7 linked regions of the Sus scrofa genome follow. The protein of the gene in region 1 binds, or shares a complex with, the protein of each later gene. Links are inferred from orthologs where the notes say so. Each region holds a gene or a part of one and is shown on either strand. Other genes may lie near its edges. The genes, in order: DR1, KAT14, TADA3, TADA2A, KAT2A, SGF29 and MBIP.

Evidence for each region.
Region 2: DR1 (region 1) and KAT14 share a complex: the UniProt entries of both Homo sapiens proteins name them as parts of the ADA2A-containing complex. The link is inferred for Sus scrofa from reciprocal best matches to the Homo sapiens genes DR1 and KAT14.
Region 3: DR1 (region 1) and TADA3 share a complex: the UniProt entries of both Homo sapiens proteins name them as parts of the ADA2A-containing complex. The link is inferred for Sus scrofa from reciprocal best matches to the Homo sapiens genes DR1 and TADA3.
Region 4: DR1 (region 1) and TADA2A share a complex: the UniProt entries of both Homo sapiens proteins name them as parts of the ADA2A-containing complex. The link is inferred for Sus scrofa from reciprocal best matches to the Homo sapiens genes DR1 and TADA2A.
Region 5: DR1 (region 1) and KAT2A share a complex: the UniProt entries of both Homo sapiens proteins name them as parts of the ADA2A-containing complex. The link is inferred for Sus scrofa from reciprocal best matches to the Homo sapiens genes DR1 and KAT2A.
Region 6: DR1 (region 1) and SGF29 share a complex: the UniProt entries of both Homo sapiens proteins name them as parts of the ADA2A-containing complex. The link is inferred for Sus scrofa from reciprocal best matches to the Homo sapiens genes DR1 and SGF29.
Region 7: DR1 (region 1) and MBIP share a complex: the UniProt entries of both Homo sapiens proteins name them as parts of the ADA2A-containing complex. The link is inferred for Sus scrofa from reciprocal best matches to the Homo sapiens genes DR1 and MBIP.

What each region holds. Positions count from the first base shown.
Region 1 is NC_010446.5:123,814,588-123,818,875, forward strand, and holds the end of DR1 (protein Dr1), read right to left. Parts: intron 2,900-4,288; coding exon 2,753-2,899; 3' UTR 501-2,752; downstream 1-500. UniProt on the Homo sapiens protein: The association of the DR1/DRAP1 heterodimer with TBP results in a functional repression of both activated and basal transcription of class II genes.
Region 2 is NC_010459.5:26,512,457-26,515,956, forward strand, and holds part of KAT14 (cysteine-rich protein 2-binding protein), read left to right. Parts: intron 1-2,834; coding exon 2,835-2,971; intron 2,972-3,500. UniProt on the Homo sapiens protein: Component of the ATAC complex, a complex with histone acetyltransferase activity on histones H3 and H4. May function as a scaffold for the ATAC complex to promote ATAC complex stability. Has also weak histone acetyltransferase activity toward histone H4.
Region 3 is NC_010455.5:66,077,173-66,081,452, forward strand, and holds the start of TADA3 (transcriptional adapter 3), read right to left. Parts: upstream 2,801-4,280; 5' UTR 2,594-2,800; intron 2,472-2,593; 5' UTR 2,414-2,471; intron 1,720-2,413; 5' UTR 1,694-1,719; coding exon 1,487-1,693; intron 1-1,486. Other genes in the region: ARPC4 (actin-related protein 2/3 complex subunit 4), read left to right, coding at 3,019-3,329. UniProt on the Homo sapiens protein: Functions as a component of the PCAF complex. The PCAF complex is capable of efficiently acetylating histones in a nucleosomal context. The PCAF complex could be considered as the human version of the yeast SAGA complex.
Region 4 is NC_010454.4:38,920,156-38,923,655, reverse strand, and holds part of TADA2A (transcriptional adapter 2-alpha), read right to left. Parts: intron 2,439-3,500; coding exon 2,306-2,438; intron 1,599-2,305; coding exon 1,555-1,598; intron 1-1,554. UniProt on the Homo sapiens protein: Component of the ATAC complex, a complex with histone acetyltransferase activity on histones H3 and H4. Required for the function of some acidic activation domains, which activate transcription from a distant site. Binds double-stranded DNA.
Region 5 is NC_010454.4:20,637,088-20,641,292, forward strand, and holds the start of KAT2A (histone acetyltransferase KAT2A), read left to right. Parts: upstream 1-1,405; 5' UTR 1,406-1,480; coding exon 1,481-1,819; intron 1,820-1,958; coding exon 1,959-2,082; intron 2,083-2,397; coding exon 2,398-2,543; intron 2,544-2,652; coding exon 2,653-2,742; intron 2,743-3,032; coding exon 3,033-3,214; intron 3,215-3,296; coding exon 3,297-3,488; intron 3,489-4,205. Other genes in the region: HSPB9 (heat shock protein beta-9), read right to left, coding at 1-357. UniProt on the Homo sapiens protein: Protein lysine acyltransferase that can act as a acetyltransferase, glutaryltransferase, succinyltransferase or malonyltransferase, depending on the context.
Region 6 is NC_010445.4:18,385,131-18,389,077, reverse strand, and holds the start of SGF29 (SAGA-associated factor 29), read left to right. Parts: upstream 1-1,147; 5' UTR 1,148-1,448; intron 1,449-3,947. UniProt on the Homo sapiens protein: Chromatin reader component of some histone acetyltransferase (HAT) SAGA-type complexes like the TFTC-HAT, ATAC or STAGA complexes.
Region 7 is NC_010449.5:63,665,723-63,669,222, forward strand, and holds part of MBIP (MAP3K12-binding inhibitory protein 1), read left to right. Parts: intron 1-2,013; coding exon 2,014-2,079; intron 2,080-2,309; coding exon 2,310-2,462; intron 2,463-2,470; exon of another isoform or gene 2,471-2,554; intron 2,555-3,109; exon of another isoform or gene 3,110-3,178; intron 3,179-3,500. UniProt on the Homo sapiens protein: Inhibits the MAP3K12 activity to induce the activation of the JNK/SAPK pathway. Component of the ATAC complex, a complex with histone acetyltransferase activity on histones H3 and H4.

The sequences.
Region 1 (4,288 bases):
AGACTCTTCACTCACAATTTCCAGATTCAGGACCCAACCTTGACTTTGGGCTAATGAAACGGATTTTGGACTTCTGATCTTCGGGACTGCAAGAAAATACATTTGTGTTGTTTTAAAAAACCAAGTTTGTGGTATTTTATAACTGTGGCATCAGGAAGTCAACATAATCACAAACACAATGACAAACAAAAAAGAGTACATTACGTATGATAGCATTTACATAAAATAAAAGAATAGCAAAATTGATTTTAGAAGTCAGAACAGTAATTATTTCTGGGGAGGAAGAAAACAGCATTAAGACAGGGCAAAAAGGAGGGCTTCTGGGATATTCATAACACTGTTTCTTAATCTGAGGGCAGGCAAAATAAGTATGTTTAATTTCTGAAACCTTTATTTGTGTACTCTTCTAAATGTATGGCGTAATTTTAAAAAATCGATGGCTTTTCAACACTTATTAATCTGATAGTCTGCTGGAAAAAAAGACATAAATTCAAGGAAGTGGGGAAAATACTTACTAAACAATAACTTTATTTCTCAAGAACCCTAAAGATTTTGTTTCTCTCTCCAAAAGAGTTTAAAAATTCAACAACATAAAGAATATAATAGTGACTTTTAACTACTAAAAATTAAGCTAAAAGTAAAACACTGCTTAATTAGCTTTGTTATGCCTGCATCCTAGGACTGTAAATTACAAAAATACAAGTAAAACCACATTTTCTGAAGTAACGGTAAACAAAGGAGAAGGTCAAATACTACATACCAAATGATCAAAATGTCTCTTGGACCTAAAATTCTTGAAACTAGTAAAAATGGTAATAAAAGAAATTTCATGCCATTAATCTGTATAGATCATTAAATATAAAAACAATTTATAAAACACATCAGATTTTATTGCTTGAAGAATACAGCATATGAAATCACAAGGATGTCAAAATGAAAAGTCACTAGAATTCAAACATATAATACATTATCAGATGCAGTAAAATATTAATTAACCTGAACTCTGCATCAGGAAAAAAAAAGTATGGAAAACTGCCTAAGTTATTTAAGAAACAGATATACTTAAAACAGAAAGTATAAGGATGTTACAGTACAAATTAGAAAAGTCAACACTTATTAACTTATTTCTTAGACTAGACTACCTTTGGTACTTAAACTTTAAAAAAAAAAAAATCCCTTCTATCTTGTCCAAAAGCACTTCATGGATACAATATCAACTTCAACTCAAAACATTCAGCAAGATTCACCTATCTGTGGCATGGAAGAAGTGTATTTAATACATATATGACAATATTTCACTTTTTCTAAAACTGTAAAATATGATTAAGAAATCTAATACATGTAAACTCTTCAATTTATTTTATTAGCTCTTCAATTAAAATTGAAATCCTGGAAGCTTCAATCTATCTTTAGGCTTGGTGAATATAGAAATTTAAATGTTTGGCAAATGTTACATAGAAATTTTGATTACTTCATACTATCTTAAGTGGTTTTTCCATTCTGTTTCCAAAATGCAAATAATAGGCCATTTCTTCAACACCCTGGATTTCTATAAAAATCACTACCATACTTTATTTATTGGAACCAAATTAAAGCTTTTCCCTTTTAACAAGCAGTTCAAAATTAGGGCTGATCAATTAGGACACACTTCCTTACACAAAACAAAACCAATCATTTTTAAAGGATCACTCAATTATGATGGAGACAATGATGCCATTTCAAAAGGAAGCATTGGACACACTAGGTCATCTAGTCAAGAAATCGTAAAAGTAATGTTAAAAACAAACGAGTAAACTATAACTACAAGTTTAATTACAAAAAAAAAATCCCTCTTTTATAGCAAGCATGCTCATTAACTTTCGTTTCTTTCCCCCAGCAAATGTCTGAATATTTATGAACTTCAGTTAAACCAACGGAACCTAAGCAACTGTTTCACGAGTTCCAATAAACATGGATGGGCTAAGCAAGTAATACTATTAATAATTATTGAAGTGAAATACTAAGAATCATGACAGTCCTCAAAATAGGGCAGTCTATGAAATGTAATAGTGTAGCTCAGGATGAATTATTCCATAGTAAAACTGTAGTTTTTACTTCTACATAAAACAAAATCAAAGTCAAAAACATAACCTACCAAATTTTACAACTACTATTAAACATACTCCTTCCCAGCTTTTGAATGCCTTGTTTTGAGATTTTTTTTAAACAAGTATATTTACCCGAGCAGAAGTGTTTATTGCCTGCATATATACTCCTTTTAAAGACCAAAAATCCCGATACTACAGAACCGAACTCTTTTGTCACCAACCTGACCCGATGTCTACTGCATCACAAAGCACCTCCACCCTCAGTCATGAACAACTACAGATTTTCAGTGTAGCTAAAAGGGCAGAGGAAATGCAAACGCAGATTTAGAATTTCTGTATAAATTTCACTGTATTTTTATAAACTTGAAGTTTTCTGTAACACTGTTTTATTGACCAAATAAAGGACTCACCGCTATCTAAAATTTCATAAACACTATTAAAAATTCAAAATTGATATTATACTGAATCTTAAATTTTCAATAGTTCAAAGAGACAGTTTTTACATCAACAGCACACAACAGATGAAACTTAACGGCAGACATCCCTAGAATACCAATGGCAAGTCCACCAAGAAGCATACAAAATTACAGATAAGCATTTCGTTCACTGTTTTCTTGTGCAAGGAAAAACATTTATAGAGGAAATAGAAACTCAGCTGGTGAATTTCAGATATCGTCATCATCTTCTTCATCCTGAGAAGATCCTGCCTGGTTGGATGCACTTGCTGAGGCAGCAGCAATCTGTGCTTGCTGGGCAGCTTGCTGCATTTGAAGCCATTCCTGTTGGGCCAATTCTGCTTGTTGCTGTCTAGCCTAAACACCAAAAACATCACACACACAAAAGTTAAAAAAAACCTACAATACGCACACTTTGTGTATTAAGCCAACCATAAACTTAGTCATTATCAAATGTGTATACCTCCCAAACACTACACAGTTGTACATTAGGACAACATAAATTCTCTAAGAAAATATAATTAGAGATTGCTTCTCTGACAACTCTTTTTTTTGGGGGGGTGGGTATCTGGCTGCATCTGCGGCATACGGAAGTTCCTGGGTCAGGGATTAAACCCACTCCGCACCAGCAAATGAAGCCACTGCAGTGACCACACCAGATCCTTACCCACTGCGCCAGAGGAGAACTCCCTCCCTGTCAACTTTTTTTTTCTTTTAGGGCCACACTTGTGCAGCATATGTAAGTTGCCAAGCCAGGGGTCAAATTGGAAGCCTCATCCTTAACCCAGTGAGCAGGGCCAGGGATTGAACCCGCATCCTCGTGGACATTAGTTGGATTTGCTATCACTGAGCCACAATGGGAACTCCTCTGTCAACTCTCTTAAGGAGAGTTTTCAAGTTTCCATAAAAGCTCCTTTTTATGCTACATAATGGTTCAACTGAAGAACTTTAAAAAGTTTACAGAAAAACAATATTCTCCCTTTAATTCCTTTTTCACGTGTTTCTCTTGATTCTTCTGTCTTAATTTACAATTCTTTTTTTTTTTTTTCCTTTTTAGGGCCACATCCACAGCATATGGACACTCCCAGGCTAGGAGTTGAATCCAAGCTGTAGCTGCTGGCCTACACCATAGCTCATGGCAACACCAGATCCTTAACCCAATGAGCGAGGCCAAGGATCAAACCCACGTCCTCATGGGTACTAGCCAGATTTGTTTCCACTGAGCCGCAACAGGAACAACTACAATTTTGACATAAATATTTTCCATCTAGGAGTTCCCATCGTGGTGCAGTAGAAATGAATCTGACTAGGAACCATGAGGTTGTGGGTTTGATCCCTGGCCTCGCTCAGTGGGTTAAGGATCTGGCGTTGCTGTGAGCTGTGGTGTAGGTCGCAGATGTGGCTCGGATCTGGCATTGCTGTGGCTGTGGTGCAGACCGGCAGCTATACTCCAACTGACCCCTAGCCTGGGAATCTCCATATGCCGCAGGTGGGACCTTAAAAAGCAAATAAGTAAATAAAATAAACATTTTCCATCTAAAAATTATTTCTGTAGTTTGAAAGTTCTCTAGTACTCTACCTCTAACTGTTAGGGGAAAAGGACTAAATGTAAAGGCAATAGCTACCGTGACTATTTAAGTTTCTATCACAGTTCTGTATCCTATACTTCTCTCTTCCTCTATCCCTCTCTTCCATCTCTATAAATATATCTGTGCACTCACGCACGCGCGCGCGCGCGCACACACA
Region 2 (3,500 bases), on another chromosome or scaffold:
CCTAGCTGGGGATGTGCAGTGAGTTAAGACAGAGGAGGTCCCTGCACTTAGGGGGTGACATCCTGAGCAAGGAGGTGATAGTACTAGTCAGCTAACAAGGTGAGCGCCGTGGGGAACAGAGGGGTGGTTGGTGCCTTTCTATGGAGGTGACGTTCAAACCTTCTTCTGATCCACAAGGTGGAGCCAGCCTGAGAGGGTTCAGGGCAGGAGGCCCTGAGGTGGGAGAGTTGGCTGGGACTTCTGATGGCAAAGGAAACGGGTGGTGGTGGGAGATGAGCCGATCCTGCAGGTATGGGAAAAGGGTTTGAGTTGTATTCAGAATACATAGCAGGAAGCCACATAGGAGTTTCAGCAGAGTTTATGAGTTTGTTTGTTTTTTGTTTTTTGGTTTTTTTTTGCTCTTTAGGGCCAAACCAGTGGCATATGGAAGTTCCCAGGCTAGGGGTCAAATTGGAGCTATAGCTGCCAGCCTATGTATGTCACAGCCACAGCAATGCCAGAGCTGAGCCTCATCTGTAGTCTATATCACAGCTCACCGCAACACCAGATCCTTAACCCTCTAGGCGAGGTCAGTGATTGAACCTGCATCCTCATGGATAGTAGTCAGGTTTGTTTCCACTGAGCCATAATAGGAACTCCCTGTGAGTTTTTAAAAGGAGAACCCGGCTTTGTGGGGGGTGGGAAACATGGCAGCAGGGAGCCCGGTTGGGAGAGGAGGGGTGGTCCAGGTGGAAGTCGAGGGTAGGTAGCCCAGCGTGGAAGCAGCGGGAAATGGAAGGACCTGGCCTGGGATGGTGTAACAGCCACAGGGCTTCACAAACTCACTGACATGTTTACCTGACACTATTTCATGGCTCAGTGGCTGGCATTTGGGTAATCTGTGGCTGCATCACAGATCACCCCAAAACTTAGTGGCTTTAAACAGTAAGTGTTTGATTCTTCTGAGCCTATGGGTTGATTGGGCTCAGCTGGGTGTTTCTTCTGCCTGATGTGCTAAGGGAAGGGCCATGCTTGTGTCTCCACTCAGCTGGGACCTGGGTCTGGGTGGAATGGCCAGGATGGGCCTCTCCTGTTCCAGAGCCTAGCTCCATGTGACCTCTGGTTCTTTAGTGGTCTGGTCTGGATAACGTGGCCTCTGGACTCAAGAGGAGCAAAAGTGAAAGCTGGCTCCCTTACAGCCTGGGCCGAGAAGTCCCAGAATGTTACCTGGGCCACATTCTGATTGGTCAAGCCTGGCCCAGGCCCACCAGATTCCAGAGAGGGGACCATGATTCCACCTTTTGATAGGAGGAGACATGTGTACCTGCAGGCACGGAAGGAAGCATGGGGCCGTATTTGGAAACTATGCTGCAGCTTGGAATTTCACTGCGAAACTTATTATAAAGTCCTGGAAGAAGTTCATGAGTGGCCTTTGAAAGTTTTGGTGTCCAGTTTGGGAAAGTAACGAGAGCACATTCTTAAAGAAGGAATTCTTGCTCTTCCAACAGGGTTATTTTCTAGGTTAAGAGCAAGCTGATTCTACAAAAACAACTCAGGTTTCTAAACTTCATCCAACCCTTGGCAAAGCACTTCATAAATGTGCCTTTTAATCTTCCATCCGAGCGCTTTGCTGTAAAACCCTAATTGTCCGTGTTCTGTTATGACATGACCGAGGGCCCTGGAGCAGCACTGTCTGGAGAGCAGATGTCTACAGCTGTTCTTTTGGGATGCCCTCCTGAGGAACAGGAGCCAGGTCCTCACGGACCCTCTGGTTGGGCCTCTCAGCTGTCATGGTGTGTTTTAGGGATGAAGATCTACATCAGTTCCACTCCGTCAGGTTTACTCAGTAGAGACAGATTTGAATAAATCCGTATACAGTACAGACACAGCAGTAACTGGCCCCATGCCTCTTGAGGTAACAGAGGCCATTGTGAGACATCAGCCCCGTGTGTGTTACCTATTCGATTCTCAGCCCGGTTGATATTTGATGAGTGGATTAAAGGTACAGTGTAGACAAAATGAATCCTGGAGAAGCAGTAAATCCAGTGGTCATTTGTGTATGTCACCTGTTTAAATGTCTTTTAAAGTTGTTTACATAACTAACATTTAAAAAATTATTATTATTTTTTTGCTTTTTAGGGCCGCACTCATGGCATGGAAGTTCCCAGGCTAGGGGTCTAATCGGAGCTACAGCTGCCAGCCTACACCACAGTCACAGCAACATGGGATCTGAGCCACCTCTGCAACCTTCACCACAGTTCACGGCAACCCTGGATCCTTAACCCATTGAGCAAGGCCAGGGATCGAACCTGCAACCTCATGGTTCCTAGTCAGACTTGTTTCTGCTGAGCCACAACGGGAACTCCAAAAGTTATTTTGCTTTTAAACTGGTATAACTGGGGAGTTCCCGTCGTGGCGCAGTGGTTAACGAATCCGACTAGGAACCATGAGGTTTCGGGTTCGGTCCCTGCCCTTGCTCAGTGGGTTAACGATCCGACGTTGCCGTGAGCTGTGGTGTAGGTTGCAGACGTGGCTCTGGCGTAGGCCAGTGGCTACAGCTCCGATTAGACCCCTAGCCTGGAAACCTCCATATGCCGCAGGAGCGGCCCAAAGAAATAGCAAAAAGACAAAAAAATAAAAAAATAAAAATAAACTGGTATAACTGGGATTAATTTTCAGTTATAATTTTATGCAAATTACCTTTGAACTTTGTATTAAAACTTGAGCTTTCCAATTAATGCAAAAAGACCTACTTTCTGATACATAAAAATGTCACAAGTACTGCTTATCTGTGAGAATTAAACCAGTCCTTTAAGTAATTTTATTTTTGTGTAACTAGTATGTGTTTCTCATAGACTGCCTTGCCATCCAGGAAGGGATTTCGGCACCAGACCAGTAAGTTTTTGTACCGTTTGGTGGGATCAGAAGATATGGCTGTGGACCAGAGTATTGTCAGCCCTTATACTTCTCGAATCCTGAAACCTTACATCAGGTACATGGAGTGTGTCATGGGGAATAATGTTTGTGGGTTTTGAGCCCCCATTGGAGTGAATAAAGACCAAAGCCTGATGTCCAGTCTCATCCTTGGCTTGTTTTAATTGTACTCCTGTGCAGAAAGGATGATCCTTTGAAGGAAACATAAAAGACAAAGTTTAAGTTCTTGGTTCACAGTTGCCCCTGCTGAGCACACTTGCTCTGCAGTCAAGTCATGTGGTCCTGCTCGCCCAGCACTGCCCTCCCTGGCAGACACGTGGAGGCAGCCTGCGTCACTGCCCCAGTCCCCAGCTGCCCTGGCAGGGTTGGCCCTATCTTTCCTGGGCTCTGTCCTGGGTCAGAGCATTCAGAGGGTTGAATTAGGATGCTGTTTCCTTTCCCCACTGTGTTTGTTAAGGCTCGCCAGCACCAGGTAGAATTCCTGGCCAGTATCGAGGGGTTTGGTCTGACTAATGTTAATAGAGTGAATTTAAAAGTATTGTAGCTGTTAAGCTGGCTGCCATATAAAGTAGGGCAAATTAATTTAA
Region 3 (4,280 bases), on another chromosome or scaffold:
TTCGATCCCTGGACTTGCTCAGTGGGTTAGGGATCTGGTATTGCCGTGACATGTGGTGTAGGTTGCAAGTGTGGCTTGGATCTCGCGTTGCTGTAGTGTAGGCTGGTAGCTGCAGCTCTGATTCAACCCCTGGCCTGGGAACTTCCATATGCCATAGGCGTAGTCCTAACAAAACAAAACCCAACCAACCAACCAAACAACAACAAAAAAAACCCAAAACAAAAAACAAAAACAGAGTACTCTGTCTCTTCAACAAGATTATAAGCTGTTAGAGACACAGAGGTTCATTTTAAACATCTCTGTTCCCCCGCATCTGGCATAGCACCTGGCATACAGGGCTCAGAGAATGCTTATGCCATAAATAGAAATCATCAGAAGTATACCAATAAATAACATTTGACATGCTTACTTAGTATCAGGTGTTGTGCTGAGCCTTTGTGAAAAGTCTTCAAATCCTCACAAAAGCTCTGAGGGAGGTCCTATTATCCAGCCCACTTTGCAGATGGAGAACTGATCCTCAGAACTAGGAGGTAACTTGTGCAAAGTCACATAGCTGGCAAACAGCAACGCTGGCAAGTGCTTGGGCCAGGATGCAAATCCAGGCCTCCTCATTCCAGTTACCTCAGTACTCCTAACCACAACAGCACATCAGTTGGTACTTGTGTGCCCTCCTCCTCCCTTCATTCATTCTTTTTAGGGCCACACCTGTGGCATATAGAGGTTCCCAGGCTAGAGGTTGAATCAGAGCTGCAGCTGCTGGCTTATGACACAACTACGGCAATGCCAGAACCAGACTACGTTTGTGACCTACATTACAGCCCATGGCAATGTCAGATCCTTCACCCACTGAGCGAGGCCAGGGATTGAACCCAAATCTTCATGGATACTACATGGGTTCATTACCACTGAGCCTCAATGGTAACTCCCTCCTCCTCTCTTTAGTTGGCAAGCTCCCTCAAGGCCCAAATTGTCCTCACTACCTCTCTAATGATGAGCACAGGATCCAGAACATTGTGGGGAGTGGGGGTCAATAGATGCTTAGTGGATTAGAAATCCTGAAATTTATGAGGATCATGCACATTCCTACTTTGATTTTTTTTTTTTAGGGCCACACCTGTAGCATATGGAGGTTCCCATGCTAGGGGTCAAATCGGAGCTGTAGCCTCTGGCCTATGCCACAGCCATGCCAGATCTGAGCCTCGTCTGCAACCTACACCATAGCTCATGGCAACACCGGATCTTTAACCCACTGAGCGAGGTCAGGGATTGAACCTGCGTCCTCACAGATGCTAGTCAGCTTCGTTTCCACTTAGCCACGACAGAACTCCTCCTGCATACTTTACACGTCACATAAGCCCAGTTTGGGTTTCTCTTCCCCCCACTATGCTCCCATACCTCAGGCCTCAGCAGAGAGGGCTAGCTACCTCAGTGACCCATGCCACAACCTGTCACAGTCCATCCCTGGTGTCCCTCTGTGGGGTATCACCTGGGTTTCAGCCTCGAGCACCCGCAGGCGTCGGCTGGCAGAGGAAAGCAAGGTCTCAAGCTCCAGCTGCAGAGTGTCCAGCTCCTCAATACCGATGCCATCATCCTCAGAGCGGGCCAACACTGCTGTGTAGCGGGGACAGACTTTCAGGTGGTCCACAGACTTGAAGTCATGGAACTGCAAGGGGCAGTCCTTCAGCTCACTCATGGCCCAGGATAGGGGACCCTGTGGAGCTGGAGAGAACGGACCACTGATGGGGGGACAAGTGGCACAAGAAAAGACCAAGAGCTCCTTCTATTCAGACAGCCTCAAGAAGAAAGCCAGGCTTCAGTATCCTACTAAGGCTGAAGTCACAGTTCCTATTTGTAAAGCACCTACTGTGCACCAAGCTAGATGCAGACATTTTACTGGCTTCTCATTAAATTCCTCACATAACCCCGTGACTCATGGTGATCTCCATTTTACGGATGAGAAAACTGAGACTGTTAGAGTGGGTACATGTTCATGCTTATCAACACGCAATCTGAATTCAGGTAGTTTTAAGTCTGTGCCTCTAACCACAGTTATACTGTGCCTGTCCTTCTGATGCTCTTCCCTTCAGCTCCACTCTTCCAGAGTTCTGCTAAACTCCAGAATTCCAAGTATTCCATACTTACGTTAACGTTCTTTGTGCCTCCCAGCCTCTCCTAGTTTCACCCTCCCCACCTTTTCCCTATTTGCCCCAGATAGTAAGGAATGTGAACTGCTAAACTAGATACATCAGGATTCAAGCTCTGGCTTGACCAGCCTCTATTTATATAGCCCTGAACATGTTAATTATCTCTCGAGTCTCAGTTTTTCTATCCGTAAAATGGGACAAAAGACACCTGAGCTTGTTTCCCCATAAGAAGTTTGAATCTATAAAACGGGGATAGTAATAGTACCTACCTCCCTGGGATGATCTGAGGATTAAAAGATGATGCCCGTCAAGAGCCCAGTTCAGTGCCTGGCACAGAAAAAGTGGGACTGGTTAATGACTGGCCCCACCCATGGATAGCCCCAGTGTCCCGCCTTCTGGGTCCCAGACCTTTACCGCGGACACCCTACCGCGGCCCCCGCCCCCTCTACCTCCTCCTAGCCGCCTCCTACTGCCCCCGGGCCGCGGGTGGGGGCGGGGAGTTCCGGTCGGTGAGAGCTACCGCCCCGGAACTGACTAGGGGCTGGCCCCCAGCAGTGCACGCGGGGGCGGAAAGACGCGAGGACCAGCCCCTGGGTCTTTCGAGGGTGGGAGTTTGCCGGCAGCGAGTGAGCCCGCTGCTAGTGGGGTGGAGAGAATAAGCCTCGGGCGTACCCTCGGGAACAGCCCGGCGCCTGGGGGCGGGGCTCGGCGGCCGGGTTCTCCGCTTGGCAGTTAGTCCCGCTGAGCCCCGAGGGCTGCAGGTAGGAGGGGCCCGGAGAAAGGATGGGGGCACAGAACCGGAAGGATCGAAGAGCTCCCCCGGCTCGCCTTGTCCTAATATGGTGCCCAACCTGAGGCTGGGCTGCACCACTGCATGGCTGTGAGGGAAGATGGCAGCAAAGACGACAAGAAGGCCAAAGTCACAAGCGAGAGCCTCACCGATGACGGGAGAAGCTTGAGTAGTGATTTCAAACTTCAGGAATCTAAAACTACCACGGCAGTCCTAGCGGGAAAACTTCCGAAGTGCCAAGTGTTTTTAGCTTCTCCCTCCCCCGCTCGGGACATAGATGGTACAGTCCGGACGTCCGGGCGGAGACTGCGGCTGCGCTTCTCGCGAAAGGGCAGGCGTCGCGGGGCTGGCCACTTCCGTACTTCCGCTTTCCGGCCCAGCCAGCGCCCGCGATGGTGAGAGAGAGCCGGGACCCGGGCCAGGGACCCCCACTGTTCTGTCCTCAGGCTCTGGGTTTGGGGGAGATGCGGCTTTGCAGCGGAGAGGCGCTGAGCCGTGGGGTGCTGGGGGTGCGGGGGCACCATGAGGTTGGGAGGAGGGAGGGGCGGGGGCCGAAGTGAGAAAGGAGCGAGCGGGGGACGCCCTCCTAAGAAGCAGGCCTTTCGGCTTCATAGTCTGGGTTTTGAAGCAGGTGGGAGATACTGAATCAGAGAGGAAGCTGGGAGTGGGTGCTCCTAGGTATGGTAGCACGTCGGAGGCACGTAGTAGGCCCCGTAGCCCTTAGTAGGGCCGCTGAGGCTTGTAATAGGGCCACCTCCCCAACCAGTGCAGACCTTCACTAAATATGCACCCCCCTCTTGCCCTCTTGACCCCATGGTTCTCTGAGGGAGAGCGTTCTCTGTGGAACTTCCTTATCCCAGTCTTCATGTTGCCCCAGCTGTGCTTCTACCTCCCAGACCGCTTCCTGGTCGGAACTCAACCGTATCAGTCTTACTATAGAATGTAAGCTCTGATACTGCTGATTCCTTCCTCCTTGGAAATCCTCTCATTTGATAACTGGCTGTTCATAGCAATTTAGACTCACTAGCTTCCTCTTTACACTCTCCCTGGTGGTGCTACCTATTTAACATACAGGTCTTCATGACCGTCTGCATTCTGGTAACTCCTAAATCTGCTGGTCTAGCCCTCTTTCATGGTTCACCTGGAAGTGTTGAAGACACCTTGAAATTAGACTTCCAGGCCGTAACTCCTCTTTCCCTAAACTTGCTTGTCCTCTTGTGTTTGTCTTCTGGCTTTGTGTTTTCATAACCTCAGTTAGAAACCTGGGATATTCTAATTGAAGCCATGCCTTTTGCTTTTCTTAAACATCAGATTTGTTGAGGTATTACACCAGAATGCGTCATCGT
Region 4 (3,500 bases), on another chromosome or scaffold:
GCTGCTCTGCTATGGAACAGGCTTCCCTGTCACATCCACAGAGGGGATGAGTGCCTTACCCTAAAGCCTCAGAAAGGAAGCCCACAGTCATTCCGTGCCTCACCCAAGTGACCAGAGGCTGGGTTAGATCAGGGATCCAGGCTGCCTACTCTGCGTTGCCTTGGGATCAAACAGAGTATGAAGGGAAGCAAGGGATCTCCCAGCTTAATGCAGGGACCAAGGAAAGCTAACACCCGCCCAGGAAGTACAAAGAGTGAGGGTGACTGGTTCAAAAAACACAAATGCCAAAGGTGCACGGTCATGTTTGCTCATTTTTCTTTTGTCTTTTTAGGGCCTTGTCTGTGGCACATGGAGGTTCCTAGGCTAGGGGCCGAATCGGAGCTGTAGCTGCTGGCGTACACCACAGCCACAGCAACACAGGATCTGAGCCGCATCTGCGACCTACACCACAGCTCACGGCAATGCCGGATCCTCAACCCACTGAGCAAGGTCAGGGATTGAACTTGCGTCCTCATGGATGCTAGTCAGATTTGTTTCCATTGAGCCATGACAGAAACATCCCTTCTTCATTCATTTTAATTAGCCAATATTAAATTATCTGTATTTCTGTATTTAGACTGAGGGGAGGGGTGGATGTAAGAAACATATAAAATAAAACTTGGATTTAACTGTTTTGGTTATTCCCTAAAAGACTCTCTTTTAATTACTTGAAACAAAAGGGTAAAAAAAAAAAAAAAAAAAAAAAATCCCTAAAGTGGCCTTTTCTGAGCCCTGTCTAGATCCTGAATCTGAGAGATTTTGAATGGGATCACAAGGTCTGTTGTTCCAACCTTTCAAAAAATGGTAAAACTACAAGTGGGTCAACTTCTGACAAGGGCAGTCTGTCCTCAGTGGAGTGGTCGGCATGTTCAGACTGGGGGACATGGCTAATCTACTATTTGGGGCAGGGGTGAACGATAACCATGAAAACGGGCAGAGAAATAGCACAATCTTGGACCAGAGCTCTACAACTAACACCCCCTTAAACTACCATCCACTGATTACCAGGCACCAAGGATTATCAGACAGCATTTGGCTTAATCCTGCTCTGTACACTAACCTCAAAATAGGACATACCCCAAGAGGTAAAGATAAGAAATACCTTAAGTTTCCAACTTATAAAGAAAATCTTTCTTTTCTGGCAAGTAGCCTGCCCCTTTGCTCACATAAGACAGAGCCTTTAATTGATCCCCTGTGAGACAAATGTCAAAATCTGTGGCAGACAGAACCACAGTAACTAACTGCCCACGAACAATGATAAAATAGAGAAAACACCTGTCTGGAGTTCTTTCTTTCCCTGTCTTTGCAGTCCAAACCTGAGGAAAGGCCCTGTTTGACAATGAAGATTCTAAAATCTTGCTGACGTTCATAAACCAGGATACCACACTTAATCCCCACTCCTCTGCCCAAGCAGCTGGCAGCTCCCACAAAAGCAGAAGGGATTGCTGGGTCACCCTAATTCCCTAGAATGAAAACTTCACAATCAAGGCTTGTTCCAGCCTGAAACATAATTACCTGAATTCGAAGCCATTGGAACAGAAGGACTCAGGCCAGAATCACTACAATGAAGAAGAGGAATTTAAACTTACGTCACATCAAAGAAAGCAATTTCCAAAAGCCCACATGAGACTGAGTGACATTTATTGGGTCAGTTACTCCGAAGAGAAGTAATGAGACAGACGGCTATGCTCTCCAGGATACCTCAACTGAACTACCCAGGAAAGGAAATCGCTCGGATTTGCCAAGAAGACGACCTCTTGGCCTGGCCCATCACGGAGGCCACTCATGGGGAAGGAACAGAAACATGATTCTCCGATGAAAATCATACCAATAAATATAGAGGGAGAAAGAAGGCATGGGGAGAGAATTTACTAATTAAAAAATTAGTTCCCTTGCGGCCCAGCAAGTTAAGGATCCGGCATTGCCGCACCTGCGGCCCAGGCCGCAAATGCACTGCGGGCGGGTTGGATCCCTGGCCTGGGCGTTTCCACATGTCATGGATGGGGAGGGGAGAATCAAAGCAGCAAAGTGGGATTCTAGGAGGCCAGTTATGTTTCTCAAAACTGTCAGTACCATGCTGTTTCTGAGAACTGCTAATATGTTCTGAATTCTGCTAGCTACCCAATTAGGACTGCTCTGCTCTGTCAATTTACAAGAAGAAGGAGGAAATGCTGAAGATCATTCCAACAACAAAGAAATGTCTGAAAATGCAGGGAAGGCCAAAACATCCAAGGGGCTGCTCCTTCACCCGGCGTTAAGCCCTCACATGTCAGCCTGCCGGCGGAGCCACTGCTGGCAGGCACTGCTGTCCTGGATGTACTGGAGGACTTCGGAGAGCATGGTACGTTTGAGGCGCTCCTCTTCTCGGGTCTTCTTGAGGTGATCATAGGTTCTGGCACCTGGAGGTATGAAAAAAACCACCACCACGGTGACCACAATGACAACGGAGCAGAACTAACTGAAGGGCTTCCTAACTGATCAGCAAAGTCTGTCTTTTTAAAATTTCCTTTGCAAAACTGCTTCCACGATTGTTTTCCTAAGAGCAAAGTGATTTCCCCTAGTTTGAAATCCCTTTTCTGACAAGAAATGAAAATATCTTCCTTTTCTACCTTTAAGGGATTTGGGAGGGGGAGGAAAAAAACCCAAACAGAAAAGCACAAAGAGTTGCTTATATCCCTCAAAAAGTAACTTTTAATATTGTCATCTTTACTTCCTGTTCTGTTTTTTCTATCCATGTATTTTGGCGAGTCACACAAGTGCTATATATGTACCCTTCCTTAAAAACCACTCAGAATTACAAATAAAAGCAAACCCTCATTGACCAGTACTATCCTTCCCCCTCTTTCCCAGAGGCAACCAGTATCAGGTAACCAAAACGTGGTATCAGAGTCTTTATATGCATCTTGCTCAACAGCTGCATAGTGTTTTTCATACATTACAAAGGAACACAGGATCCAAAGGACCACACCAGTGGGTTTTCAACCACGTCCCACAGAGCCCCAGGATCCCGTGAACGTCTCTCAGGGATTACTGGGAAGACCACGAGCACCTCCCCATCCTGGTGGTCCTGGGTTCCACACAGGACCTGAACCATCAGACGTCAACCAAAGCAGTCCCATTTTTATCTTATTTACGGATGGGACCTCCACATAAAATTTCATTTTATAAACAGCTTCCATCATTAAAAATAAAGAGCCACTATAGGAGGCCAAACTTACACCCATAGGACCACTTCTTGTGGGCAGCGGGTGACAACTGTCAATTTACAAGAAGAAGGAGGAAATGCTGAAGATCATTCCAACAACAACAAAACAACAGAAACTGCCATTTATGGAGGCTTTACTGTGTGCCAGGTACTGTGCTATGTTTCCATGCATTATCTCTAATCTTCCTATTAACTGCAAGAGACTTGGAAACTGAACGAACAGAATTACAGATGTGGCGAACAGAGTTATAGCTCT
Region 5 (4,205 bases), on another chromosome or scaffold:
GAAGCCATCCTCCGCATGGACGTTGTCCCGCATAGCTGCCACATCGTCCGTGAGCTGCTGCACTGGCAGGGTGGCCACCTGGTTCTGTTCAGTGAAGGCAACGCTGGCACATCGGGAAGCTGACTGGCTCCCGTTGGGGAGACCGCTACTGACCCGCTGCATCCGAGAGAGCAACTGCTGGTGAAGAGCGCGAGGCTCCGAATGTAGCGCTCGGCTAGGGCGTGGGGGCCCCCGGGAGCGGGGGCCTCGGGCCGGAACGGCTGCACTCCCGCTCCCGCGGCGCCTGCTCTGTTGAGGGGGCTCCCCTGGCTTCCGGCAAGTTTCGCTTCCGCGGAATTTGGGATCAGCTATGCACATAGCTCCACGAGTCAGGTTGGCAACCGCTCTGACGCCTCCGCGGCTGCTTTTATCCCGGATCCTGCCCCTTGCTCGGGCCCTTCCCCAACTCCGTCAGAGGGCCCTGGCCTGCCGGGGCTGTGACCCAAACGGATAGGCCAAAAGAGGCCGGCGGCCTGTGAGCCCCACCCTGGAGCCGTCAGCAGCACGAGCAGAGATGAGATTGAGCCGCCCGGCTCATGCCCTTGCGAGAATCCGGCCTGGGGGCAAGCGGGGCCTGCCCTCTGAACAGAGCATCAGAGTGTGACTACAGGGTCATCCATTCTAGGAATGTCCTTCCGATCTCTGACCATGCACAATCCTGCGACACATAGGGTTTGGAAGGTGGACGCACCTTCCTGGTTTCCTTCATTCATCTGACCCTGGGCCTACTGGTGGCAGGCGCAGAGCTGGGCTCTGGCACCAGTGCCCACGGTGTGAGAGGAGAGCCACACCCATAGGCCCTCCTCTGCCTCTACCTCATCCCCACCTCTGCAGTTTTTTGAGGGGCCACAGCCATTATTCTGGCCCTCAGTGCTTTTATGATAAGCCTTTTTTTGTTGAAGTAAAACAGAAAAATGCACAAAGAGAACACACACTCGTGTAACCCCTCCACAGGTCAAGAAATAGTATTGTTGCTATTTAATCGCCACCCCAGCTGCAGGTCCGCGTCCGGAGGTACGCGGGACAGGGTCAGTGTGGGGACGGGAGGGAGCGAGGCAAGAAGCCGAAGCGACTCTAGGCCCTCCAGGTCTACACCTTCTCTCCCGGGCTTGGGAGGCGAGACCCCGGAGAAGCCTGCTTTGTGGGATGCTTCTCCCTGTTCCCACCAGGACAGCAATCTAGACTATCTTGGAAGCCTTCCGTAGAGATTACAAGTTTAGAGGAGTCCATCTGGGGTGCTAGGTAGGGCCTCACTTGGCTGTCCCGGATTTAAGAAAGAGGACAGAAAAGTCTGGAAGCTGGAGGCGAAGAGCGGCTGTGAAAAGACTACAACTCCCATCATGCTCCAAGGTAGCGACGCCTGCGCACCGAACGCCGGTTGCCCATGCGGCCCTAGGGCTGGGAGCGCCGCGCCGCGCCGCGCTCCGCAGCGGGGGAGGCCATGGCGGAACCTTCCCAGGCCTCGACCCCGGCCCCAGCCGCTCAGCCGCGTCCCCTTCAGTCCCCAGCCCCCGCCCCAACTCCGACTCCTGCTCTCAGCCCTGCTTCGGCCCCGACTCCGGCTCCCACTCCGGCACCAGCCCCCGCCCCAGCTGCAGCCCCAGCCGGGAGCACAGGGACTGGGGGGCCCGGGGTAGGAAGTGGGGGTACCGGGAGCGGGGGTGATCCGGCTCGCCCTGGCCTGAGCCAGCAGCAGCGCGCCAGCCAGAGGAAAGCGCAAGTCCGGGGGCTGCCGCGCGCCAAGAAGCTTGAGAAGCTAGGGGTCTTCTCGGCTTGCAAGGTGGGGGCGGGGCCTGGGGCGAGAGGGGGCGGGGCTTGGGGCATCCCAGGGCTCGGGTGGGCAAGGGGGCAAAGCTCTGATTGGGGAGCGCTTCTCGTCCCGGGGTTACAGGGTTATTGACGGATCCTTCTGTCTCCAGGCCAATGAAACCTGCAAGTGCAATGGCTGGAAAAACCCCAAGCCCCCCACTGCACCCCGCATGGACCTGCAGCAGCCAGCTGCCAACCTGAGCGAGCTGTGCCGTAGCTGTGAGCACCCCTTGGGTAAGGCAGTACCCTTGGAACTGGGGTGGGGGTGGAGGTCTTGGGTCCTGCTTGGACAGGATGACTTAAGTGCCACACAACTTCATCTTTGAGAGATCCGAGATGCTTCCTGAGGAGGCATTGGGTTGGGAGGAGAAAGGAGATCTCTCAGTCCAGAAGAGAGACCACCCAGGGCTGACACAGGAGCCCGCAGTCTCATTGCCGGTCACCCTGGTCGGAGGGACTGAGGATGCGTCTTGGCTGGTGGTGAAGAGGAGCAGGAAGCCCTGTCGATCCCTTCTATCAGTTTTCCACAACCACCACTTGTCCTTACAGCTGACCACGTGTCCCACCTGGAGAATGTGTCAGAGGATGAGATTAACCGGCTGCTGGGGATGGTGGTAGATGTGGAGAATCTGTTCATGTCTGTTCATAAGGAGGAGGACACGGACACCAAGCAGGTCTATTTCTACCTCTTCAAGGTGAGCTTCCTTGAAGGAAGAGTGTGAGTGGGCAGAGGAGGGAGGGTGGGGGGGGTCTGCCTTTCTGTGCTCCGCTGACTTCTACTCCTCCCTCTTCCTCTTCCTCCAGCTCCTGCGGAAGTGCATCCTGCAGATGACCCGGCCCGTGGTGGAGGGATCCCTGGGCAGCCCCCCTTTTGAGAAGCCTAATATCGAGCAGGTGGGACAAGGAAGGTGGTAAGATGGTTGGAGGTATAATGGAGGAGTGGGGAGCCAAGCTGGGGACAGGGGACAGGTTCAGAGAAAGGAAGAGGCCTTGCGCTAACTTCAGGGTGGGTGTGAAGGTGGGAGGAGGTGTGATTTCTCAGAGAAGGCCCTCCAGAGCCGGAGCCCCAGAGAGCCTTGCGCTCTGCCCTCAGGAAGCACCCCCCTACTTCTGGATCAGAAGTCCCTGCCAGTGGCTCACGCCTCCTCCCCTGTTTTGTCCCCCGCTCGCCCCCACCTCCTCAGGGTGTGCTGAACTTTGTGCAGTACAAGTTTAGTCACCTGGCTCCCCGGGAGCGGCAGACGATGTTTGAGCTCTCGAAGATGTTCCTGCTCTGCCTTAACTACTGGAAGCTTGAGACGCCCGCCCAATTCCGGCAGAGGTCTCAGGCCGAGGACGTGGCTACCTACAAGGTCAATTATACCAGGTAGGTCCAGCCAGGGACGGCGCAGGGGAGGCTTGTAGGTGTCTGCTCTCACTCAGCAACCCACTCCCCACCACCACCACAGATGGCTCTGTTACTGCCATGTGCCCCAGAGCTGCGACAGCCTCCCCCGGTACGAGACCACTCACGTCTTTGGGCGAAGCCTTCTCCGCTCCATCTTCACCGTCACCCGGCGACAGCTGCTGGAGAAGTTCCGGGTGGAGAAGGACAAGCTGGTGCCTGAGAAGAGGACCCTCATCCTCACCCACTTCCCCAAGTAAGGTTTGTTCTGGCCTATCAGGATCTTGCACCGTGTTCGCATCCTCCCTGTGGCCCCCGCTTTTTCCAGGAAGACTTCCTGGGTTGGTCTCTCTTTTCTCTCCATGAGCCTTCTGGGATCTGGGCCTCTGGCTGACGACTTACCCACGGCCCAGATGCCACTCGCTAGCTATTTCCCCTTTCACGTCTTGGTCTGGGGATGGCAGGTGCATGGCCCAGGTGCTGATACTGTCCCCACCCACCTCCCGATGGACGTGACTAATTGTTTCCCATGGGGCATGGATGCAGCTCAGAATCCTCACCACAGCACTCTAAGAAACCAGAACTTACACCTGTGAAACCGACTTCCACCCTGCACTAGTCCTTCCTGGGAGATTTACTCTTCTGCCACACCTTCCCTTCATTTTATTCTATCTTACTTGATCTCATGTATTTATTTTTGTCTTTTTAGGGCCGAACCCAAGGCACATGGAAATTCCCAGGCTAGGGGTCTGCAGCTACTGGCCTACACCATGGCCACAGCAACGCTAGATCCCAGCCGCGTCTGCGACCTGCACCACAGCTCACGGCAACACTGGATCCTTAATCCACTGAGCGGGGCCAGGGATTGAACCTGTGTCCTCATGGGTACTAGTCGGGTTCATTAACCACTGAGCCACGGCAGGAACTCCCTTCCTTTGATTTTAAACCTGGCTCGCAGCTACCCAGTTCAAGA
Region 6 (3,947 bases), on another chromosome or scaffold:
AAATTAAAGATAAATTCAAACAAACAAAAAAATTGAGCCCCAGGAGTTCCCTCTTGTTCAGTGGGTTAAGGATCCAGTGTTGTCACTGCTATGCCTCAGGTTACAGCTGTGGTGCAGGTTGGATCCCTGGCTGGGAAACTTCCACATGCCATGGCACAGACACCCCCGCCCCAAAACGAGCCCCAAATCTCCCTTGAGGAGAAAATAAAATTGACATTTGCCATTCAGGAGAAATAGCTTCTGAGACTTCATTTTTTTAAAAAATTTTATTTTATGGCTTCTCCCGCGGCACATGGATGTTCCCAGGCTAGGGGTCCAATTGGAGCTACAGCTGCTGACCTACACCACAGCCACAGCAACACAGGATCAGAGCCGCTACACCACAGCTCATGGCAATGCCTGACCCTTAACCCACTGAGCAAGGCCAGGGATCAAACCTGTGTCTTCACAGATGCTAGTCAGATTAATTTCAGCTGCGCCACTACGGGAACTCCTGAGACTTCAATAAACACGAAAATGCGAACTCCTTGCTTCTGTAAACCCCATAAAACGCAGGATATAGAACTGAGACTGGGTAGATGGTCATGCAACTTACTGAGAGACCACAGAAAGAAGAGTAAGTTTGATGGTAAAAAATGTTGCATTAAGTTTTGGGCTGAAATGGTTTGTGTTGAAGTCTAAGACTCTAATATGAATTTTAAAAAATAGAACGCTTATTATATACCAGCCACTATGGGTGTATATAGGTGAATAAAACAGTGGATCCTAACCTCCCTGAGCAGGCAAGTGTACCAAACAAACGTAAAATTTGGTATGGGTTATGTAAGAGATTACAAGATACTAGGATGTAAACCGTTGTGGTTAAACATTTGCTCACAATGACAATATGTTCCTGACAATACTCTCTAAAAGAATGATATCTGGGTTTACAGATCTGCTTATTTCTATTTATTTTTAACATTTTTTAAATGAACTTTAATTTTTGAAGCAGTTTTAGCTTTCCAGCAAAATTGAAGGAACAAGTACAGAGTTCTCATATGCCCACTGCTCCCCCTTCAATCAACAATCTGCTCGTTTAAAAATTTTTTTATTGTTTCATCGAGGTTTTGGTAATAGGAGTGGATACTGAAAACACGCTCTGGTTGGTTAAAACAAGGTTCAGCTGAAGAGGCGGAAACTCTGTGTCCAAGTAAAAACTACATTTCCCAAGGAGCAGCGCGGCACGGGAAGAGAGCGCACGCGTAGAGAGGAAGACAGCGCACGCGTAGAGAGGGTCTCGCGCTGCTCATAAAAGGGAAAAAGCGTGCGTGGTTCTTGAGCCGCCGCGAATCTTCGAACGTGAGCGCGTTGTTATCCGCAGACTCTGAAAGGCATTCGAGGGAAGACGCGCCTGCTCCCGCCGTCGCAGTTTCCAGCGCGACTTGCTTATTCCACCCGTGGTTCTGTAGGTGGGTATACGTCGTGGTCTGAGGCACTGCTTGGCTCCCCGCACCCCCGCTCGGAGAATGGCGGGAGCGGAGGGCCGGGGGGTCCCTGTTCTCGGGCGTCGCTGAGGCAGCTCTTGAGAGGCAGTGCGCACGCGCCCTGGACCGGGAGAGGCGGGGCGCTGGGAGGGAGGGCTGGCGCCGACCTTCTCTGGTAACTGACTGCGCCTGCGCTCGCCGGCTGGAAGAGGGTGGGAAGCCGCTGCACGTGGAGCTTGGCTCCGTGGCTGGGAGGGGTGGGTACGCACCCCAGGTGCGAGAGAACAAGGGCAGAGGATGGGGCCCGCACTTTGGCAGCTTTCATTATTTGCTGAAGGTGTGCTTAGTTTAACAACCTCATTCTTCATATTCCTCCAGGTGCTTTCTATTTCACTGCAGCCAAAACTTCATTCTCTACTCATTAGCCCCTTTTCTCCTTCAAACACACTCCAGTAAGGCCTTGGCTCTCACCCCTCCACTGAAATGGAAATGCGTGCTTCATTTGCTATGCGGAACATTCTCGTCTTCAGCTTCAGCTCTTTCTGGTTTCTCCTCTGCTGATTCTTGCTCTAACTTACCCTCAGTGGTTGGTTGTACTGCCCCACAGCCTCATCTTTGATCTCTTTTCTGTGCTGTTTCCTAGGCTTTAAATACTCTCTCTTTTTTTTTTTTTTTTGTCTTTTTGCCATTTCTTGGGCCGCTCCCGTGGCATATGGAGGTTCCCAGGCTAGCGGTCTAATCAGAGCTGTAGCCACCGGTCTACGCCAGAGCCACAGCAAACGTGGGATCCGAGCCGCGTCTTCGACCTACACCACAGCTCACGGCAACGCCGGATCCTTCACCCACTGAGCAAGGGCAGGGACTGAACCGGCAATTTCATGGTTCCTAGTCGGTTTTGTTAACCACTGAGCTACGGCGGGAGCTCCTAAATACCATCTCTTGTGTTTAACTCTCAAATTCTTGTCCTCAACTCATTGCTCTACCTGAAATTTTGAGTTTTACCATTCACCTTCTTCAGTTTTCCAATTTTTCAAACACCTTGAGTTATACTAGATGTCTTTTGCTTCCCCTCTGTCCTCTTTCTCCATCAGTCAGTACATGTTTATCTGTTTATATACTTGTTTATGTGGCCACACCCACAGCATTCCTAAGTTCCCAGGCCAGGGATCAAATCTGAGCTGCAACTGCCAGCTAAACAGGATCTTTTAACTCATGGCTCTGGGCTGGAGATAGAACCAGCACCTTGGCAGCAACCTGAGCTGCTGCAGTCAGATTATTGTTTATTTATTTGCTTTTTAGGGCAGCAGGTGTGTCATATGAAAGTTCCTGGACTAGGGATCAAATTGCAATTTCAGGTGCCAGCCTATGCCACAGCCCATGGCAATGCCAGATCCTTAACCCATTGAGCAAGGCTAGGGATCAAACCTGAGTGCTCATGGATACTAGTCTTGTGTTGCCACTGAGCCACAAAGGGAGCTCCCTGTAGTCCGATTCTTAACCCACTGGGAACTCAGACAGTCTCTCTTCAGAGCATGTTAACAGGAACTGATTTGTTTTCCAGGATCAGGGAGAAGATACTGAACAGTCCAGCTTCAGAACTGTTGCAGTGTTTCTAAGTTCAAAGACCGTTTTAGGAGGCCTCCAGGGAGTACCCTGGTGGCCTAGTATTTAAGGAACTGGTACTGTCATTGCCGTGGCTCAGGTTGGATCCCTCTGCAGGTTACAAGTATGGTGTTAAAAAAAAAAAAATTTCCAGGATTCAGTTCAGTTCTGCACTTGCTTTTGAGGACTTAGTAGGTGCCAGGCCCTGTGCTAATTGCTGGGAATATAAAGATGAATAAAAGTGCATCTCTCTCTTTTCAGAGATCTTGGTGTGGCAGGAGAGACAAACAATATGGTAGTCTCTGGGTGCATGTGTGACAAATGCAGGAACAGATGTTTGTGTCCGGTGCTTTAGAAGTTTCTGGAAGTTCTGATTGCCCATGGCATCAGGGCAGATTAGAGGGGCCTGAGACAGCCACATCTCCCTGCCAGTTGTTTCTGGCTAGGAGCAGCTTTGTCCTTGTACCGTAGTATGCCATACAAATACTGTCGTGTTCTCTGTGTGCCCTGGTGTGGAAAAGCTTGGCAGGTAGTGCTGAAAAAGTGTGAATTTTGCTGCCATTTGATTTGGGCCCTGAAAAAATGAGTAAATTTGAGAGATCCAGAGGCAAAAATGGAGAAGGATCGAAGGGCAGACATAACTGAAACATACAGGTCTGCTTGTTTGAGGCAGGGGCCCTGAGTATTTCAATATGGGTATCGTAGGGTAAGGTCAGTAGAGAAGGCTGTTTGAGAGGTGCCATTCAGGATCTGAAGCAGTGCCTTGAGAGTGTTTTGTACACCTCAGTGTCCGTTTTTATGAATACCTCCCCCACCACAAGGCACCCTGTTCTCAGTGGGTAGGTCTATTAGCATCCATAGTTTTAGAGATTAACTTTCTGG
Region 7 (3,500 bases), on another chromosome or scaffold:
TTTATGTCACGATAAAACCAGTCTGTCATGAGGACTATAGTGTCTTATGGCTTTTTCCTTTCTCTCATAGCACATACGTTTGCTGTTTTTCATCAGATTTTCCTTTCCTCTCAACGTGATGCTATACTATATTTACAGGTCCGCAGGTATGCTGCAGAATGCAAAATTGCAAAGCACTGGTAGCATAGATCATATTCAGGCATCATAGTAATAATCAGAACAAGTAGTTCTTAGAAAAATTATGGAGAAGAGTTCTAATTGGAATGAACAATTTTCTTGTTGCCTCTAATATTTCTTGGCTAATTATTATGAACACAGAATTGTCAGATGAACCTAGAATTGACAGTGTATCACGTTCGTAGACTGATTCTCCTCATAATGGAATAATACAGGCTCAGGATGGGTCCTAAATTTAGCTTTTTCTACTGTTAACATTATACATGCATATCACTAGATTTGGTATATTTTACTGTTAGCTTTTCAGAACAGGTGCAGCAGTGGCAAAATCCCAGGTACTGCAATCCAACTGCAAGCAGCCCATGAGAAAGGGTTTGTTGAAGAAGCAAGCGCATGTGTCACTAATGTTATTCCTCTGTTCTCCCTGCTAACTCTATTATTATAAACCACCAGGGGATAGAAATTGACAAGAATTGAAATGCTCAGCAGGATTCCTTGGCCCATTCAATCCCTTGCTGGCTCCAAACAGTGCTAGGAAGAATTGCTGTGGAGAGTGACTAGCACTCATACATTCACTATCTTCACACCATGCTGAATTTCTCTCTAATGGGTCAGTTAATCTATATATTTGGAATATAGCTCTGGAATGGATGATAGCTTCTTTTTTTAACCCTTAGCCCCATGAAATGGCAGGAAGAGAATGGAGAGGTGATGGCCCTTTAAACATATTTTGTGGTATCTCAAAAAAAAAAAAAAGAAAATGACTCTGTCTAGTATCTATATATAAAAGATAAGTGAATTTGGAATTTTATTCACACAATTTGATGTGTCAGCAGAACTGTCTTAGGAAACTTAGACTGAAAAAATTGAGATGTTATGTGCTAGTGTGCTCCTTTTAATACTTCTCAGTTGGTGTATATGTAAACAATTTTTTAGAAAATCAAATTCTATAAAGAAAAAATTTTCTTTCAGTATCTCTTTTTACCATCCATTTTTTAGTATAAAATAATCAAGGAGAATTTTTTCAGAAAATTTGCTACAATGCATGCTTTTACTTAACATCATTTTGAAGATTATTTTATATATGAAATGTTTATATATTATGTTAACATCACTCCAGCTTTGTCTCTTGGTTTGTGATTTATATGTCGATACCCAATATGAAAGAAGCTATGCTTTTCAACCTAGGAAAAATTTGGAACAAATTTTCACATATTATCTTTCTTAAAATTGCATTTTTTGAAAGGGGCAGGCTGAAAAGTGATAAATAGCTTTTGTGATTAGGGATTTTTAAAATGGGCATTGGAAATCTAGATAGTGTAAAGGTATGTTTTTTCATAGTATTCTGAAATGAAGATGTGTTGAATATGTAATCCATTTTATTAGATGTTCATTAGTTTGATCAGTAAGTAATAACAAAAATGCTCTATTTTTGAAAAAGACATTTCAGTAACGATAATGAGTTTTGTTTATTTCTATGTTGAAATAACATGAATAATGTCTCTGGCTTATTTTAACTCTCTGTAGTATATAAATTGTTTTCTCCAAATGTCCAGGTGGTTTTTAGGGAGATTGGTATTGATTAAAAATTATATTGAATTATGCCACCAAATATTGAGGATTTTTCTGTATATAAATCTGGAAATTAGATGAGATTATATATTACAAATTTTAGAAGGTAAAGATAACTAAATTGATAGTAATTTAATTACTATTATTTAAAATTATATTCTTTGATTATGAGTAATATGTTAATATGCATTATTGGAGGGTTATCAAAATCTCACACATTTTTAAGAATATATTTTAACTTTACATTCATCTAAATTCTCCTAGAAAATAGTTGTGCGAGAACTGATGCCGTTTTTACTCCTTACCCTGGATTTAAAAGTCATGTAAAAGGTAAGTATTTACTGTGTAATATCTTCATCACTGACAAAGCTTATTCTAGATTATAAGCAAAATGGAATAAAAATCACTTTCCTATCTAAATTTTATTTATTTTAAAACAAAGCAAAAAATCTTGCCTTTCTTCATACTTGGTTTGTGGTTATAAAAAGAACACAACGTACCGTTAGAATTTCTGATTTTTGAAATGTAAGTTTAATAGGCTCAAAAATTTCTTAACTTAGTTTCTAGAGTTGTGAATACATATGGACCACAGACTAGACCTGAAGGAATTCAAGGATCAGGTCATAAACCTAACAGCATGCTCCGGGATTGTGGTAATCAGGCTGTGGAAGAACGACTGCAAAATATTGAGGCTCACTTGCGGTTGCAGACAGGTAAGCAGAGTGCTGGGCAGTGTCCTATAATGTACCTTTGCAGATGGTTAAAGAAATTCTGATTCATTTAGTAACAGATTTTCGTTGAGCCCCTGTCATATACAAAACATCATACTGGTTAGTACAGAAAGGAAGGAAACATAGTCCCTGCTCTCAAGTAGTTAACAGTTTCATGTGTGTATGTTCTTCCTTCTCTTAACACTTCTCAACAATTTGAGAGTGGTAGTATAATGGGAACAAATTCCAAATAGATCCTGACACTCTCAGTTTATTAAAGTCATGGCCGAAAACTAATATAGTCTTTTTCCTGTCATCAGTTTCATAACTTAACCATGACCATCTCTCATTCTTAGCACCCACTGTGCTATGTACAAAGTATTAATAGTGTAATCCTCATCCTTTAAGGTCTCCCAGTGGGGATAAGCATATAAATAAATAAATGCCATAAGGGAAGTGACTGACATTTATTGAATAAGTGCCAGTCACTCTGAAAATACTATACATGTGTCAACTCACTTGATATTTAACCAGTACCACTGTGAGATCTTGCTGCTGTTATCATTGTCAGATAAAGAAATTGCAGTTCAGAGAGCTCAGCAACATGCCTAAGGAGTAAATGGCAACTAGAAATCAAACCTCTATCTTACCTGACTGCAGAGCCTGATTCTCCCTCCCCATTTAGTCACCAGATTTTGTTGATTCTATCTTCTGAATATCTGCAAAAAGCACAGAGGCACAAAGTATGATGGTTCAGGGAATTTCTAGAGTCCAGTCTGGCTGGTGTATTTGTGAATGGAGGTAGAAGAGAATGAGTACATCTTTGAGGATAGTTAGAATGAGCTTTAAAATTAATCCCCTCTCCCAAAACTAGATGAATTTAAAATACAACTGTTTAACAGGATTGACTGCTTTATTAAATCTAATAGAATCAAGATGGTAATTTTGAAAAGTATCCATTGAATGCCTACTATAGGCCAAGCACTGTTTTAGATAGGAGGGATACTGAGATGATGTAGTCACATTTGGTGGTTTCAAAGA